2 linked regions of the Caenorhabditis elegans genome follow. The protein of the gene in region 1 purifies or fractionates together with the protein of each later gene. This does not show direct contact. Each region holds a gene or a part of one and is shown on either strand. Other genes may lie near its edges.

Region 1 (4,236 bases):
AAAAAGAATTGGATAAAATAAAGAAAATGAAAATGAGAGAACAGGAAGAAGAGACCGACAGTCTACTGCATAATGACCTTTTGAGCAAGGCCCGCGAACATTTACGACCACCGTCTGCCCGTCTGCGTCGTGCATCTCTCGTACAGGCTATCCGTGTTTTGTTGTAGATCGACTGGGAGAGACAGTGTTTGTGTATGCTATAAATCTGTAAAGAAACATCTCTGACCAAACGAAGGATTATAGAAAAAAACAAACCTAGAAAAAAACAAACCTAGAAACCTTCTCAGGACAGTCCTTGTGTAGGAGGACTGCCTCTTATGGGGACTTTGATGTGATGTGCTCCAAGTGATAACATTATTAAATTAAACCTGTGAGAATTCGATGAAAAATTTTCTTCTATGTTTGATATTTCATTTGCTTTGTTCAAAAAATTGAGATGAGACAAGTTTTATGCGTATTGTTTTAGTGCAGAAACAACATAACTTTTTAGCGTCTTGTTCTTGAGTTTCAGAAAAAAACCGGCAGAAGCAACTTCTACTCGACTTCAGCTACACAAAAGACGATTCAAGGAGGGTCAAAATGTTTGTTAATCATAGAACCTTCCAGGAGTCGACAGAAAAAACACGGGGAATGGTAACTAGCAACTGAATGAGCACGGAAAAATTATTATGTTATACCTACAATGCCTATAGTTAATTGGAAGTTTGAGCACAAATACTGCATTTTAAAATAGTTTTTCCCTTCTTTATTACGGAAATTTGTAAGACCATTATTTTATATGCAAATCCGTTAATATTTTCAAGCCTATGAAGCAGTCTTTAAGGTTTCAAATACCGTATTTCCTCTATTAGTATTGCACCCGACTACTTAACTTTGAAACGTTATATCTCGGTTCATTTTAAAGATATCAATATATTATTAGTTACAAAATTATAGAAAAAGAGCTAATAAATATTTTGTTAGTTGACAATTTTTGAATAAGGCAAACGATAACTGAGATATAAGCTTTCAAAGTTGATGTGAAATTTAACATTTTCTATTCCATTCTTTCCTTGTCAATAAATCCAAAATAATTGGAAAAAAACCTCATGAAACAGCAGCAAGATCCATTTTTTGACCAAAGTACCCTAGTTTCAGATCGATATACCACTGTAATGGTCAACAATCGATCGGAATGTCAATTGACAAACAGATGCGTACACCTAAACTCCGCCCAATTGTCGTAGTTGCTCTGTCAGATCGACAGTACACATTTCTTATTCATTCATTCATTCATTCATTGTACCAGCACACGAAGAGGTTGCTCTTTTCTGATTTTGTTTCATGTTTGTTGCCAGTTACCGTCTTGGTAATTTATGATTTTTTTTGTGATTTTTCAAAAAAGAAGTCGTTTTTAATTGTCTATCAAACCTTTTTGAACTCAAAACTCCTATCAAAATGCAAAGAAAATAACTTTTAGGGCAGAAAACCCTCTGAAAAACAGTACATCGTACATTGACAATACTTTTTGCTCACTTTGTTCCATCCTTCATAATCATGTTTAATTCACTATCCTCAAATTTTGCTGTAATTTTTTCTGCCAACTCTTGGGAAATTCCGTGAATTTCAAACATTCAGAGTCTCTTTATGTACACTATTATCGGAAATTGAAAAGTGAGCAAAAAGGGTTGTCGATTTGCTGGTCCCTCCAGGTCCATGAAATGTCTCAAAATTGCCACAAAACGGACAAATATCATGCCGATACTTTAAAAAGCCCGGAATTTTTCACAAAACGTTACAAAACGTATGTCTTTTGGGAAGTTCAAAACGTCTGAAATCGTTCAAAAAATGTAGAGTTTCTTGAATTTCACAATTAACATTCCTTCAATTTTCCTGCAAATTTCTTGCCCTCATGTCCACTGTGAGTGGTTGAAAAAATCAAAAATCCCTTAAAAAAGCATTCCTACAATCATTTTCCTTTTTTCCCTCATCTAATTCTGAAACTTCACACTTCATTTTCCAGAAACATCTCCAACAAGCCATGTACCCTCAATACCCAGCTCAACCAGCTCCAGGCGTCAGGCCCATCATGTGCCCAAGACCATTGCCCAAGTTTGCAATGGGAAATTGTCCCGTGACAAGAACGCGAACAATCGGTGTTCAACGATTTGGTCAATACTACATGTTCAACAAGCATCCGGCGTCACCCAAGCTGGTCCCACACAAGTGTCTTCAGTGTCAAGCGAGAGTCACCGAAGCGGATCTTTATCCTAAGTACTCGGTGGTCTGTAATAAGACCTCGACGCTCGTCATTTTTGTGCACAATGGGATCACGAACAAGATCGAGCAGTACGCCTATTCTCACTCGACTGGCGGGTTCGTGGAGGTCAGCTTTCCGGAACTCGTGTACAACCCGAGCCTCGTCACTCATGGTAACCTGGTCGTGGTTATTAAGGGATTAAAGAATGAGAATATTGTGATTGAGAGAGATCTTAGAGGTGGAATCAGAAAGCAATCCTCACATCTTGGACCATTCCAAGCGATTCCACCGGTTGTTGTACGTACTCTTATGATGCAGGAGATAGAGAAGGGTATAGATGTGACTGGAAACCCGGAAAACCCAGATTCTGCTGTAGAATCTGATTATGATTCCGAAGAGGACGATGAGGATGAAGATGATGAGGATGATCTCGACGTGGACGATCTCAACTACCTAGATTCTCTACCAACTTTCAAAGTTAGGATCTGCCAAGCTAGTCAGAAAGAGGTTGTATGTGTGATCAACAGTTGTAATGGAAACTACATCAAGTACATTTACAATGACCATACCGGAAACTTCGACTTTTACCAAGGTACATCTAAATTTGAAGTCACTGAGGATAGCTTGGTGGCCAAGTATTCCGAGTTTCACCAAGGCTTGAAGAAGTACGTTTTTCATGTTCATAATTTGGAGAGCAACCTGATGGAGAAATATTATTATCAAGCGGAATTCAATTCCCTTGTTCAAACTCATTGTAATGATCTGATTTATGATCCCGCCAAGATTACCCAAAGTCATGTTCTAGCAGTAATCAATCGGAATGATCTACCACAACCGGTTGTAGAAGTGATTGTTAGGAACTTGTATGGAAAAATTCGAAAGGAGATTCCAGAAATGTATGGCTTCATTCAGACACCAGTTACTGTGAAAACTTTCATAGTTCAAATGGAAGAGGAACGGAGAAAGAAGACAAAAATCATCTATGATAAGGTTCAATTGGCGAAGAAGAAGAATAAGGAGATAAAATTGAAGAAGAAAGTTCTGGAAGAAGAGGAAAAAACTGAGAAAATGATGGAAAATATGACTCTAGAGAATTCTGAAGATCAGTCTAAGAAGGATGAAGCAACAGTGGATGCTGAAATTAGAACGGAAGAAAGCGATAATCCTTTCAAAAGAATTCCGGTAATCGATGCTCAAAAACGACTTATCGATGCGATATTTCAAAGGCAGATCGATTGTAATATTGAAGACAGTGAGAAGCAACGGATCAATATTGACATTCAGAGAGGACTTAAATGGTTTCAAGAATGCAAAGAAGCAAGGAAAAGGAAAGAAGCTGAAGCGGCACAGAAGACCTTGGAGCAAAAGCATAGAGCAGCACTATTGACCTTCAGGGAAAGACATGATGATCAATAAATTTCGATAATTCTTTTTAACTTTTCATTGCTTTTTGTTTTTTTTTGTTTTTTTTTGTTTCTTTTTGTAATCAGTTTTTTACCAATAAACTATTTATTTAATATTTAGTCAATAGTTAATAGTTTACAGAAGCAAAAATATAAGAGGTATGCTCTATCAGCGGTGCGCGCACGTGGTGTTAGGCTGTCCCATTACGGTTTGATCTACAAAAAAGTGCGGGAGTTTTTCGCCCAAAAATATGTGACGTCAGCACGTTCTTAACCATTCGATATCAGTTGAGAACTCTGCGTCTCTTCTCCCGCATTTTTTGTAGATCTAAGTAGATCAAACCGAAATGAGACACTTTGACACCACGTACGCACGGCAAACAATTTTGTTCCGGAAAATCGGCAAATTGCCGGAATTGATTTTTCCGGCAAATGGGCAAATGGACAAATTGCTGGAATTTCCAAATACCGTATTTCCTCTATTAGTCTTGCAGCCTCTATTAGTATTGCATGCAAGACAAATAGAGGAAATACGGTGATAGTCTTGCAGCCCTATTCTTACCAGACCAGCAGGATTGTTGTGAAAACTTCAAC
Region 2 (4,865 bases), on another chromosome or scaffold:
CAGTCATAAATCCAGGTTTCACATTGGGAAGTGGTTTTCTTTTCCTTAGTCCATACCAATAATCAGCCACGATGTCAATCACTCGGGTTCCTTCTGTGCGTAGTTTTTGAGAATCCATTTTCTCAACGATTCCGATTTTTGTAATCGGTAAAAAAACGAAATAATTGAAAATCGATTTGTTGTGTTTTTTGTTTATTCAATGTTTCATATTAATTTTCGCATTTTTCAAAGTGTCACGTTTCATTAAATTGTTAGGAAGATGATTTTTGCTAATAAGAAAGTTTACTTATTTATTATTAATGAAACTTGATAATTGTTTTAACCGAGTGTAACATTGGTTAAAACGATCGAAATTTCTAGAACTAAGCCCACTTTTCTGTAACATTTTTTGAACTATTTGAAAAATCGCAATATTATGCAGTTTTCGTAAACTGCCAACCACAAAAAAAATGAAACTTCCTCGCTTCTTCCAATCGCCTTGGCGTTTATTTCCAGACCGGATGGGAAGACTAGTCGGAGAGTCTTTCCGAGTTTGAATGATGATCTGTTATAATGTTAACGACTCCTTTTTAAGCTGTTAGTCTATTATGTAATAAAAACACATTCATTGAAAACTAAGTACTCATGAAGCCAGTTTGCATTTCGTCGGAGGGTTCATCTTTGTTCCGTTGTTACATTTAAACGCCGAATTGAATTGTGGAACACTCGCTAGAGCTTCATTCACGTTATCCGGATCCGAGGTGCACATTGTCTGAAACGACTGTTTTATGTTAAAATTTACTAATTAGACCGCATACCTTCACCATGCTGTAGAAAAACAAAGCTTCATCTGATGATTGCTGGATTCCTGGGAGCGTGGCATATGGTTCTTTAGTTGAATCATAAGCATTCCATCCAATACTGACGCTGACGCCAAAGACGTTTTGCTGAATAATAACTTATTGGTCTTGAACTAATTTGTTTTTTCCTACCATCATCCCATCGAAGCATTGTACTATTATTTGGAAGTATCGTTCTGTTTCAGTATTCCACCAATTACGATGATTCCCGTCCGAATCGTAGAACCTGCCACGTTCATCGAAAATGTGTATCATTTGGGGAAGAATTTTGGACGCGATAGTTGCGAAATTTGTATAGTTTGGAAGGTTTGCAGACATGAAAGGATAATGGAGAAGAGCTCGTGAAATTGCTGAAAGAAATTTCTTTTTTTTTAGAATTTCAGAGAAAGACTTACTTATTTCATTTTTCTCAACTGAATAGAAAACTTCCGAATTCAAAAACACTGTCACATTGTTTTCTGCGACAGACTTAAACATATTTCTGGTTTGCCAAAGAAGAACATTTTGAAGAGTTGATATATAATTGGACTCCGGTGTTATCTTCCCAACAAGCTCATCAATCAAATCTTCTCCAGTAAATCCAAAAACTGTTTTCGTTTTATTAAACTTTTTCTGTGCTTCTTCGATTCCTCGACTGTCCATCCATTTCAATGTAGCTAACGATCTTTTCAGTTGATCTTTAATTGTGTGGAGCATTCCATTTAGAAGGTTCAATGCTTCCGGTTCTTCGGATCCATAGAGCACAATTTTTCCAGGAATGGTTGTTGACAGCTGATGAAGACAAGTATCTTCCAGATCAGATGCTACTTCTGTTCGAAGGAATTTGAACGAAAAGCGAAGAAAAAGAAAGTTGTATATAGTTTCAGAAGGTGTAGATGAGATGATCGCATTTATCTGAAAAAAAAAAGAGTTAGATATTTTTAGAAAATTATGTTTCACCTCTTCATAATAACTGGTATTGAAGCCATATACTTTTTCTTTCAGGTGAGCATAGCCATTCGGAATCCAGGAATCAATCAGTCTCTTCCAATCAATTATTGGCATCTGTCTTTGAATCTCAGTCAGATTAACGACTTCTGGGTCAGCTTTGAACTCGATCTGAGATAAATTTGTTACTATTATTCTACTTAAACGTTTCAACTTTTACCTTTTCCAATTTTGTCTGAAGCTTGATCACATCATTCAGCTGCCTTTGTCTATCGAATTCCAGATCTATCATTCCGTTTGTGGAGCTCTCCGGTGCATTTCGCTTCAAAATATCGTACATATTCCGAAACTTAAAGTTTGTGAGAACAGGTGAGAACGGTTTGACGACGAACAACGAGAATTCAGAGTCACTTGATGGTTTGATTCCTACAAATCCAGCATCATCGGGGTTGTGAAGTATGATATGAGCCAATATTTTTGTAAGGAATGGGTAACTGTATGTCGTGGATGAATTTGAAGTAGAAATAGGATCAGATGGTTTTGTCCATGAGTTGTTGAGAAGCGGGAATGGAAGACCAGGGAGGATGATTGAGCTGAAAAAATTTCTTGAGTCAGCAGAGGTTTTCTAAAGTCCACTGCCTACCTCAATCGTCCAACTTGATGAATCTCTTCAGTTTTTCCCATTGCACATTTGCTCAACATTCTCCTCACAACATTAACTGCCTTTCGATGATCAGGCTTTTCCTGAATATTGATCAATTTCATGAGTCTCTCAAAGTCTTTCTTTCTTGGATTGAAGCCATTGCACACGTGGTGATGAAAGTTTTCGCAAGGATTCACCGAAGAATCCATCAATTCAAGCTGAAAATATTTTGTAATGTGATTATATATTGTAAAACCATTACCAGTTCAGCTGAATACTTTACACATTCCTTTGTTTGACACGGTAGATCCAGCATAATTCTCAGTGCTTTCTGGGGTTTTGGTTCCCATTTAAACGCCGAAATATCATGGAGACCCAGCGCTCCGAGAGCAAAAATGAGAAGCACCAGGATGACCAGGGTCGTGATGACAGCTAGAACGGTGCATGGTTCTGGACGATTTTGCAGTTTTTGCAGTTCCTCGATTGGATCAGGAACTCCGATTTCAACATGTGACACATGATTTTTATTTTTGTTCTCCGGATCTTTAAAGAATAACATTGAAGATTGATCTCTGAAATTGGGAGATTATTAATATTAAATGAAGTAAAAATTACTCACTTCGACATTATGTTCTCTTTTGGTTTTTTGATAAAATCCACTGGATTCATAAAGAATATTTGAAGTAATAAAGTGTTTTTGTTGAAAAATATTCAATAACGTGGAATTTATTTTTAAAAAATAGAAGGCATTGCGTGGCTGAACTTTCCTGGCATAAGAACGTGATTACTTATTGGCTCGCTCTTTTGGAGCAAACCTTGTGTACAAACGTCGTGTTCAGAACTTTATTTGGCATAAAATTGAATGAGTTCGAAGCTAGACACTTGAAAAAAGATTTTTGGCTTTCAAACTCTTGCTCATAATCTTGCCCTCATTTTTATAGTATCAGAATATTTGACGAAGAGAATTATGGCAGAAGTTTGCGACATATCACGGGTTTTTTTTTTAACAGTGTATCTTGCAATCCTTATAACTCAAGAACAACTATATTAAACGAAGCCTACTTCGGCAAGAAAAAGTCTACAAACGATTTTTTTGTTTCAAGAATTTATAAGGCTGTTCTAACTACATACCTCATTAGCTAAACTGAGTAGTAGCCCTGAAAACAAAAGTTTATATACAATTATGGCCGGCCCTGTACTAATTATTAAGCCACAACGAGTGCAGATCATGTTTGAATACTTTTAACTTGTTTTGGCTCTAAACAGCTCGAATTTGACTCCTTTCTCCAAATTCATAGAATATGCAAAAGAAATGGAGTAGTGACATAAATAACACTTTGGAGACCAACTGGAAAGCAGGCAAATTTTGTGAATAGGAAGGTTTTCTTCTTGTTCATCTTCCGCTACCTACTACTTTATTTGTTTTTGGGCACATTTTTCAGTTGTAGACATTTATGCGATTTCAGAGATTTGCCATGTTCGCTATTCTTTAATCTTTCATCTTGAGTCAAGTAATTTATTTTTTCATTATTTAGGTTTTAGATGGGATTCTAGATTGAAAGGAGATTTTTGTTTTAGATTTTTTTTTATCTGAAAGAGTGATTCAACATATTCTGAATTTTTCTGAGTTTTCTAAACAAATAATTGTCAAAGTTTCCGAACTCCATAATTTTCGGCAACCACGACCTTTATTTGGAAGTTGGCAGCTTTAGTGTCGGTTTCCGAACAATGATTTCATAGGTCTTTTGAGCACTCGAAAGAGGCCATTCTTCGTTTCAGTTATAAAAAATTTGAAATGGAGTTAACTCAATTTTTATTCACCCCAACAAATCAAAAATTCCCAGAGCCATAGATTTTCATCTTGTCCTTTTTCATTTTCACATTTTCCTTCTCGAAACTTCTACCAATTAATCATATTTTTCGCTTTCCCAGTAGGTCATCTCCTTCAGACAAAAAAGTGATTCATCTTTCGAAATTTCTCCTGCCAGGACAATTAGGCTCAGCATATGTCTTTTCCCAAGAGATATTCACAAGTATAAAAAGTTTCATAACAATCTGAGAATTGAACTTTTGAATTTTTCTTTTAAAGGGCGATAACAAGTTCTAATATTTCTCCAACATCATCAACTCCCCGGGCAGCAATTTTCGCCATTTTTAGAACTATTTTCTTGTTTTTATTTTGTTTTTAAAGCCGTTTTAGAGACTTCTCTTATGAGTCTTTTCCAAAAAAAAGTTCAGATTTTTTTCGTGGAAACTTGACAGTGATGACGTCGTTAGCTTTAGTTTGCAAAACTAGACAAAAAATGGAAAAGAGGACTTCAACATAGTTCCATGGTTTTAGAATGTTTCTTAGTAGGCCATTTTGAACACGCCAACTCTTACGTACATTGTGTTTTGATTTTGAGTATTGTTTAAATTTTTTAAATTTTTTAAAGTCAAATTCGTTTTGATTTAAA

The links.
Region 2: the proteins of sdz-30 (region 1) and nep-5 fractionate together in Caenorhabditis elegans (co-fractionation; one large-scale study listed by BioGRID). This does not show direct contact.

The regions. Positions count from the first base shown.
Region 1 is NC_003279.8:13,305,031-13,309,266, forward strand, and holds sdz-30 (SKN-1 Dependent Zygotic transcript), read left to right. Parts: upstream 1-2,020; coding exon 2,021-3,655; downstream 3,656-4,236.
Region 2 is NC_003280.10:5,486,364-5,491,228, reverse strand, and holds nep-5 (NEPrilysin metallopeptidase family), read right to left. Parts: upstream 3,086-4,865; 5' UTR 3,079-3,085; coding exon 3,029-3,078; intron 2,982-3,028; coding exon 2,672-2,981; intron 2,628-2,671; coding exon 2,410-2,627; intron 2,360-2,409; coding exon 1,987-2,359; intron 1,938-1,986; coding exon 1,779-1,937; intron 1,734-1,778; coding exon 1,235-1,733; intron 1,190-1,234; coding exon 972-1,189; intron 927-971; coding exon 798-926; intron 752-797; coding exon 623-751; 3' UTR 591-622; downstream 1-590.